2 linked regions of the Danio rerio genome follow. The protein of the gene in region 1 interacts with the protein of each later gene in a biochemical or structural test. Links are inferred from orthologs where the notes say so. Each region holds a gene or a part of one and is shown in the gene's direction. Other genes may lie near its edges.

Region 1 (3,656 bases):
GTTGTGGAGTATAAATACTTGGGTACAATTTTCGACTGCCAGCTGAAATTCAATTCTAACACTGGAGATTCTTGAGGGGTGCCAACAGAGGCAGTATCCCCTTAGGAAACTCCGTTCCTTTGGAGTCTGTAAAGACATTTTGTTGTATTATTCTTTCATAGAGAATATCACATTTTCCATTTCTTGTTTATTTCATTCTATTAATTTACAGAATAGAAATCGGCTACAAAGTGTTGTTACAGTGTGTTCTAGGATTATTGGATTGCCTGTTGGATTGCCTGTCTCTTTCAGGCATATGTGATCAACAGACTCTTAGGTTAGCAAGAAGGATTATTAAGGACCTCTCACATATTCTCCATTCAGCATTTGAGCTGCCCCCTCTGTAAGACGGTTTCGTTGCAATGTGTGTAGAACTCAAAAAAGGAGAGTCACTTTTGTTCCTAAAGCCATTCTGCTTTTAAACTCCAAAACGTAACTCTCAAACTGTAACACATTTCAGGATGCATTTTAGAAATTTTTAATTCATATATTTGTCAGTATTTAATGTTGTTATTGTCATTTATCTATTTGTACGTTGTGTTTTGTGTGTTAATGATATTGTTTTCTTTTGGTGCTGCTCCATATGTCTTGAATTGCCCCTAGGGGACAAATAAAGTTCTTTGAATTGAAATTGAAATTGAATGTAGGAGAAATGACTGGGAATAATAAACTGCAGAAAACTACTTGCTCTAGATACCAATGGCTGCTCCCACTTGTACGTGAAGAATAAGATCAATAATGTGGGCTAAAAAAAAATAACATTCCCTAATCTGTAACATTAATTTACAAATTCCCACTCGATCACTTTTAGCTTGCATTTGGGATTGATGTGTTTGTGTGTGAGGCTAATGTTGTGTTGTTGTAATGAAGAAGTGTATGTATGTCTGTGTTCAGGTGAAGTGTGCTCAGTATTGGCCTCAGCGAGAGGAGCGGGAGGCTGTTTTTGAGGACACAAACTTCAGACTTACTCTGATCTCAGAGGACGTGAAATCGTACTACACAGTACGACAGCTGGAGCTGGAAAATCTGTCGGTGAGGCTCTTGATCTTCCCCTGATCTCATTCAGTCCTGCTTTCGCTCATCTGTCAATCTCTGTCACCGATCATTCTATGCCGAGACTCTCTGCAATCCCTCTTCTCTCCATTTAGCTGACATTTTAGTTTTTCAGAGCTTCTTTAATGCTGGTCAGGTTGTTGCCTTGACTCAATACTCTCAGGATATTACAGTTGCCAGAGGCTCGATTCTGACAAACACACTCATCTTGATTAATGCTATGTCGTGTGTGTGTGTGTGTGTGTGTTTAAAGACACAGGAAACCCGGGAGATTCTTCATTTCCACTACACCACATGGCCAGATTTTGGCGTTCCGGAGTCTCCTGCTTCTTTTCTTAACTTCCTGTTTAAAGTGCGTGAGTCGGGCTGTCTGAGTCCAGAGCTTGGTCCTGTGGTGGTCCACTGCAGCGCTGGCATCGGCCGCTCTGGGACATTCTGCCTTGTAGACACCTGCCTTCTATTGGTGAGATAACGGAATTTTTTCCATTTCAATTCTGTACTCTTCCAATGTTTTTTTTTTCCCTAATGAAATTAAACTTGATAGAGATGCATGTCCATTACGACTTCAACTCGCATAGTTTTCACCTTTATTTTATAAAAAGTGTGGGGAGCAGTGAGAGGGGAAGGATTGTCTTAGGACCTTGAGATGGGAATCTAACTCAAGTCACCGTGAGCACCAGAGTGCCATGTGTTGAAGCACAAACCACTAGGCTATTGGCATTTTTATAAATCAGTGTATTACATAGAATAGTGGTTCAATTTAAAAAATGTCTTTTAAGAATCATCTCATTGATAGCGCTCAGTCACCAGAATGTGTTTTTCCATTACAGTGAGCTACTTTTCCATTGTTTTTCAATGTATATTTCCTTTGAAGGAGGTGCATAACTGTTACGATTGCAACTCAATCTTTTGAAGCACTGCTCACATGATGAGCCAAATTTTTTAGACAGTGGCAGGTCAAATGAAGAAAAAAATCTGCTTTTACATGCAGCAGCCACTTAACAGTGTCTGTTCTAAAGCAGTAGACCAATCAATTAATTAACCCTTAAATCATACACTGCAAGTTTCTGTTAAAGGGTGTACTCACACTAGACACTTGCATTTTTTGCCTTCCGAGCCTTACATCATCGATGATTTAACTGTTCAGTTTAACAGAAGGGAAGTGCTATCGCTTGGTACAACAGAGATTGGTTTAGTTATATTATTTAGTATTATTTTAAGTCTTTTGATATGCAGTGACACACAGTCGGATTATTTGCTGAACACATTTGACACTCAATGTTCATGAAAGTCATTGTGCTGCAGGTATTAGGAGGTCTGCTGAAGGTGGCAGCTGTCATGCAGCGGGTTTTTTTTATCTTTAATAAACTGTGACAGTTCACATTAACTGAACAGTTAGAATGATTGCTAAATCCATGTAAAACAGTCCCTTAAAAGTGATGTCGGGTCTTCAGTTTTGTGCTCGGGTGCGCTTTGCACTCAAACTACTAACGGACCGCACCAAAGCCCAACTGAACTGCGCTCTGACTCACCTCTTCCAACCGGGCTCGGGCCGGCCAACTGAACCGTGCCTTAGCCTGGCTTGGAGCACTCCCACTTGTCAAATGTGCCTGGGCATGGTTTGGATAGCCTAGTGTGAGAACATCCTAAATGCGCTCGGTGGCCGAATATCCGAATACCTTTGTGTTCTACACTGCCTTTTTTCCTCTCTGTTCATTTTTATTAGTACCACAGCACTCTATGCTATTTTTTGTAATTAAAATTAAAAAAATAAAACAAACAAAAACAAAAATATAATTTACACAGAAGTGATTATGGTTTTTCTACACAGGTGTGCATGAGATTTATTGTTTACGCTAAATTTGTAATAGTTTTAATAATGTGCACACTGAAAATGTCATTTACAGAAATAAAATAAAAACATACCATTGAGTCTACAATTTAATTAAGCAAATTATATCCCTGCATTAGACCTCGCTAGAAGTGATGTGATGTAGTAAAATTACTCAACTAAAATGCTTTTCTCCCTGAATATTATAATTCGGAAATGTGATATATAATTTACTACAGTTCAACAAACTATAAGTACCTATTGGGGTACATTGTAAGGCAGTCTGTCTGTTTTTGATTATGACAATGAAAACACTTTCTAACAAAGTGGGAGCAGAGCTTTTGTGCATCTCCTAGCAACACTGATGTTTTGTTTATAAATGATTCTGTTTTTGAAATGAACTGTGTGAGTCATAAGGCTCTTTAAAATAAATAAATGTTGCAGCCTTTAAGTATTCAGTTTACAAATTTCAATAAATAAATAAAAATGGAATGAAAAAAATGCTTGATCATTTTTCGTATGTTTAACAGTAGTATCCTGAGCCTCTTGCTGCACGTCTTTACATCTCGTATGTAATTCATTAGACAGTCAGTCCAGTGTAGGCGGATTTGCTCTTTCCTTTGTTTAGAGCTTAGTGGAAAGTTTGTACTTCTCTAATATTCTCTAAACAACTGTTATTGTGTTTTGTCAGATGTCTCAGAGGAAAGATCCATCATCTGTACGCATTCAGGAG
Region 2 (4,138 bases), about 29 Mb from region 1:
TATTACATTAATAATATTAATGATAATAATAATAATAATAAGTAATAATACATATAATAACACTATTAACATTAATAAGTACAATGATAATAATCATATTATTATTAATAATAATAAGTAATAAAACATAAATAATAATAATATTAATAATATTAAGTTCTAACACTTATAGGTAACAATAATATTAACATTAATAATAATAATAATAAGTACTAATACAGATAAGTAATAATAATGATAATAAAAAATAACACTTAGAAGTAATAATAATATTAAGATCAATGATGATAATAATAATAAAAATAATATGTAATACATATAAATAATAATAATATTAATAATATTAGGTTATAGCACTTTTAGATAATAATATTAACATTATTAATACTATTATTATTAGTTTAATACTTATATATATAAGTAATAATAATGATGATAATATTAATAAGTAATAATACTATTAACATATAATAATTATTATAATGATAAGTAATAATAATAATAATTATTATAATTTTTGGCGACGCAATGACACAGTAGGTAGTGCTGTCGCCTCACAGCAAGAAGGTCGCTGGTTCGAGCCTCGGCTGGGTCAGTTGGCATTTCTGTGTGGAGTTTGCATGTTCTCTCCGCATTCACAAGGGTTTCCTCCGGGTGCGGTTTCCCCCACTGTCCAAAGACATGCGGTACAGGTAAATTGGGTAGGCTAAAATTGTACGTAGTGTAAGAGTGTGAATGAGTGTAAATGGATGGTTTCCAGAGATGGGTTGCAGCTGGAAGGGCTGCATAAAACATATGCTTGATAAGTTACCAGTTCATTCCGCTGTGGCAACCCCAGATTAATAAAGGGACTAAGCCAAAAAGAAAATGAATGAATGAATTATAAATTTCAGAACAGAGTATAAATAAATAATAATTAAAATTAGGTTATCATAAGCTATCATCATCTTCATAAAACAAAATTTATTAAATTTATTAATTAGTTTAATAAATAAATAAATAAATAAATAAATAAATAAATAAATAAAAACATCCCAAAGGGAACCATTTCGCGTCATTTTAGCTGTAGTCAATTTTTCTGCCTTTGAACCTGAACGTTATTCTCCGACGACGAGTGAGTCAGTTCCACACAAACACACACAGAAAAACAACGAGCGCAACTCATTCCTCCATATACATGCATTCAAATAACCGTTCACCTCACGAAGCAGCAAACACAACAACAACTCTACCTAAACCACATGATCAGTGCTAATTAGTAACCACGAGATTCTCAAAAAAGCATCCTCACAGCACTGATACACTATAAAGAAAGCCTTGATCAGTGTAAGGATGTTGTCAGGCGGTCAATAACGCGTGTGAGTGAGTGAAGGATTGATTGATGTGTCCTGCTGGTCTCCTCCCCTCAGACGCGCGCATCATCCAGCGCGTCTCCAGAGCGCGTCTTCAGTCCGCATCCGAGCGTCATTCAGCGCAGCATCTCGGGCATTCGTTCTGTAGGAATATACGGTCACTCGCTGTTGCTTTTTCTGCTCCGGCTCTGCGCGTCTCCAGACTCCGGGTTTTTTTCGGGGGTCGTTAAATCTGGAGGTGAGGACCCGGGGATGAGCTTCGGCATGACGGGCTGCGGGTTCGGTTGGGCGGTGATGCTGCTCGCGCTCTGGAGGCCCGCGACCGCTTGTCCGGAGCTCTGCACGTGCACGGGTTTGCGGATCTCCTGCGTGGACGCGGAGCGCAGTATTATGGCTTTCCCCAAGCTGGAGTCCGAGGCGGACATGGAGAACGTCACTGACATGTAAGTCATGCTGGGGGTCATATACACTGAAACAAAAGCGATACATTGGATTTACTCCGGTTTTTTAACCGCGGTAAAGTTTGACATTCATTAGAAATTCGATTTCAAACCAATTAAATTATTTGCCCCTGCTATAGTTTGAGCCAAAAATATCTCAGATAGGTATAATTATGTGTCCTTTATGTTGCACAAGGCTTAATCGATAAAAAAGACCAATTAAACAATTCAACGAAATTATACAATAAAACCAGTAGCAAAATGTTCAGAAAAACACCCTGCTTATTGCACAAGACTCTGTTTTTTGCAATTAGCACTTTATTTATTTTATTATATTTTTAAAATAACTTTTAATGTAAAAATGGTAAAAGTTTTGTTTTTCACAGTTATGCCTTTGTTGATTTTATATACAGTACTGAATCCATATTTTCAGTAATTCGGATACACTGTAAACACTTAAATGAATTAAACACTGACACCATTTGAGATAAAAATATACAAATCAACTCTAAAATTGTCTAAATATTATTCCCTATGATGCACAAGCTTTGTTCTTTATTGTTATGCCTTTGTTGATTTTATATACAGTACTGAATCCATATTTTCAGTTATTCGGATACACTGTAAACACTTAAATGAATTAAACACTGACACAATTTGAGATTAAAAACACAAATCAACTCTAAAATTATCTAAATATTATTCCCTATGATACACAAGCTTTGTTCTTTATTGTTATGCCTTTGTTGATTTTATATACAGCACTGGATCCATATTTTCAGTAATTTGGATACACTGTAAACACTTAAATAAATTAAACGCTGACACCATTTGATATAAAAAAAACAAATCAACTCTAAAATGATCTAAATATTATCCTCTAGGATGCACAAGCTTTGCTTTTTACTGTTATGCCTTTGTTGATTTTATATACAGTACTGAATCCCTATATTCATTATATCGCTACACTGTAAATGATTAATCAAGACTAATAGTTTATAGCTTTGCTACTGTAAACGCATTTAATGAATAGTAATAGTTTATAGCTATGCTACTGTAAACGTATTTATTGAAGACTGATAGTTTATAGCTATGCTACTGTAAACGTATTTATTGAAGACTAATAGTTTATAGCTATGCTACTGTAAACGTATTTATTGTAGACTTATAGTTTATAGTTATGCTACTGTAAACGTATTTATTAAAGACTGATAGTTTATAGCTATGCTACTGTAAACATATTTATTAAAGACTAATAGTTTATAGCTATGCTACTGTAAGCGTATTTATTGTAGACTAATAGTTTATAGCTATGCTACTGTAAACGTATTTATTGAAGACTAATAGTTCATAGCTATGCTACTGTAAACGTATTTATTAAAGACTAATAGTTTATAGCTATGCTACTGTAAACGTATTAAAGACTGATAGTTTATAGCTATGCTACTGTAAACGTATTTATTAAAGACTGATAGTTTATAGCTATGCTACTGTAAACGTATTTATTAAAGACTGATAGTTTATAGCTATGCTACTGTAAACGTATTTATTAAAGACTGATAGTTTATAGCTATGCTACTGTAAACGTATTTATTGTAGACTAATAGTTTATAGCTATGCTGCTGTAAACGTAATTAATGAAGACTAATAGTTTATAGTTATGCTACTGTAAACGTATTTATTGAAGACTAATAGTTTATAGCTATGCTACTGTAAACATATTTATTGTAGACTAATAGTTTATAGCTATGCTACTGTAAACGTAATTAATGAAGACTAATAGTTTATAGCTATGCTACTGTAAACATATTTATTGTAGACTAATAGTTTATAGCTATGCTACTGTAAACGTAATTAATGAAGACTAATAGTTTATAGCCATTGCCTTTTATTGTGGTTCCAGCTGATTGGTGTGTCTACAGTTTTGCACCAGTGTGCCTGCACATCTGATGGCTGTGCTTAACCAATTGGCATCAGTCTTTGCTTTGAAATTGCAAGGAAATTTCATCATGAAAAATTTCTGTGTCAAATGCAAACAAGCGTGTTTAGTGATTTGCAATCTAAGCTGATCTAGCCTTGTGCTTTGCTCCTTGAGTGTACGGTTTTGGTTGTTGTGGCAAAAGTTAAACTTTAGTGTGTAAGCAATCATAAAAAAACTGTAAAATATGCAACAAAAGCTAATTTTACTTTCAAACAACACAACTTGCAAACAAGTATATGAGCTCTTTTAATCAATAGACAACAAAATGCAGAACTCAGTGTGAATCAGTGCATCTTTGCTTGTCCTTGTAGCCCATGCCGTTTGTTGTCTTTCTATTTGGGCTGTCAAATTTGCCTTTTTGCAAA

The links. The genes of interacting proteins can lie anywhere in the genome.
Region 2: the proteins of ptpn1 (region 1) and ntrk2a form a complex in vitro, tested with the Homo sapiens proteins (2 studies listed by BioGRID, with this or other methods). The link is inferred for Danio rerio from reciprocal best matches to the Homo sapiens genes PTPN1 and NTRK2.

The regions. Positions count from the first base shown.
Region 1 is NC_133183.1:30,336,781-30,340,436, forward strand, and holds part of ptpn1 (tyrosine-protein phosphatase non-receptor type 1), read left to right. Parts: intron 1-933; coding exon 934-1,071; intron 1,072-1,345; coding exon 1,346-1,555; intron 1,556-3,614; coding exon 3,615-3,656. UniProt on the Homo sapiens protein: Tyrosine-protein phosphatase which acts as a regulator of endoplasmic reticulum unfolded protein response. Mediates dephosphorylation of EIF2AK3/PERK; inactivating the protein kinase activity of EIF2AK3/PERK.
Region 2 is NC_133183.1:59,551,735-59,555,872, forward strand, and holds the start of ntrk2a (BDNF/NT-3 growth factors receptor precursor), read left to right. Parts: upstream 1-1,334; 5' UTR 1,335-1,604; coding exon 1,605-1,795; intron 1,796-4,138. UniProt on the Homo sapiens protein: Receptor tyrosine kinase involved in the development and the maturation of the central and the peripheral nervous systems through regulation of neuron survival, proliferation, migration, differentiation, and synapse formation and plasticity.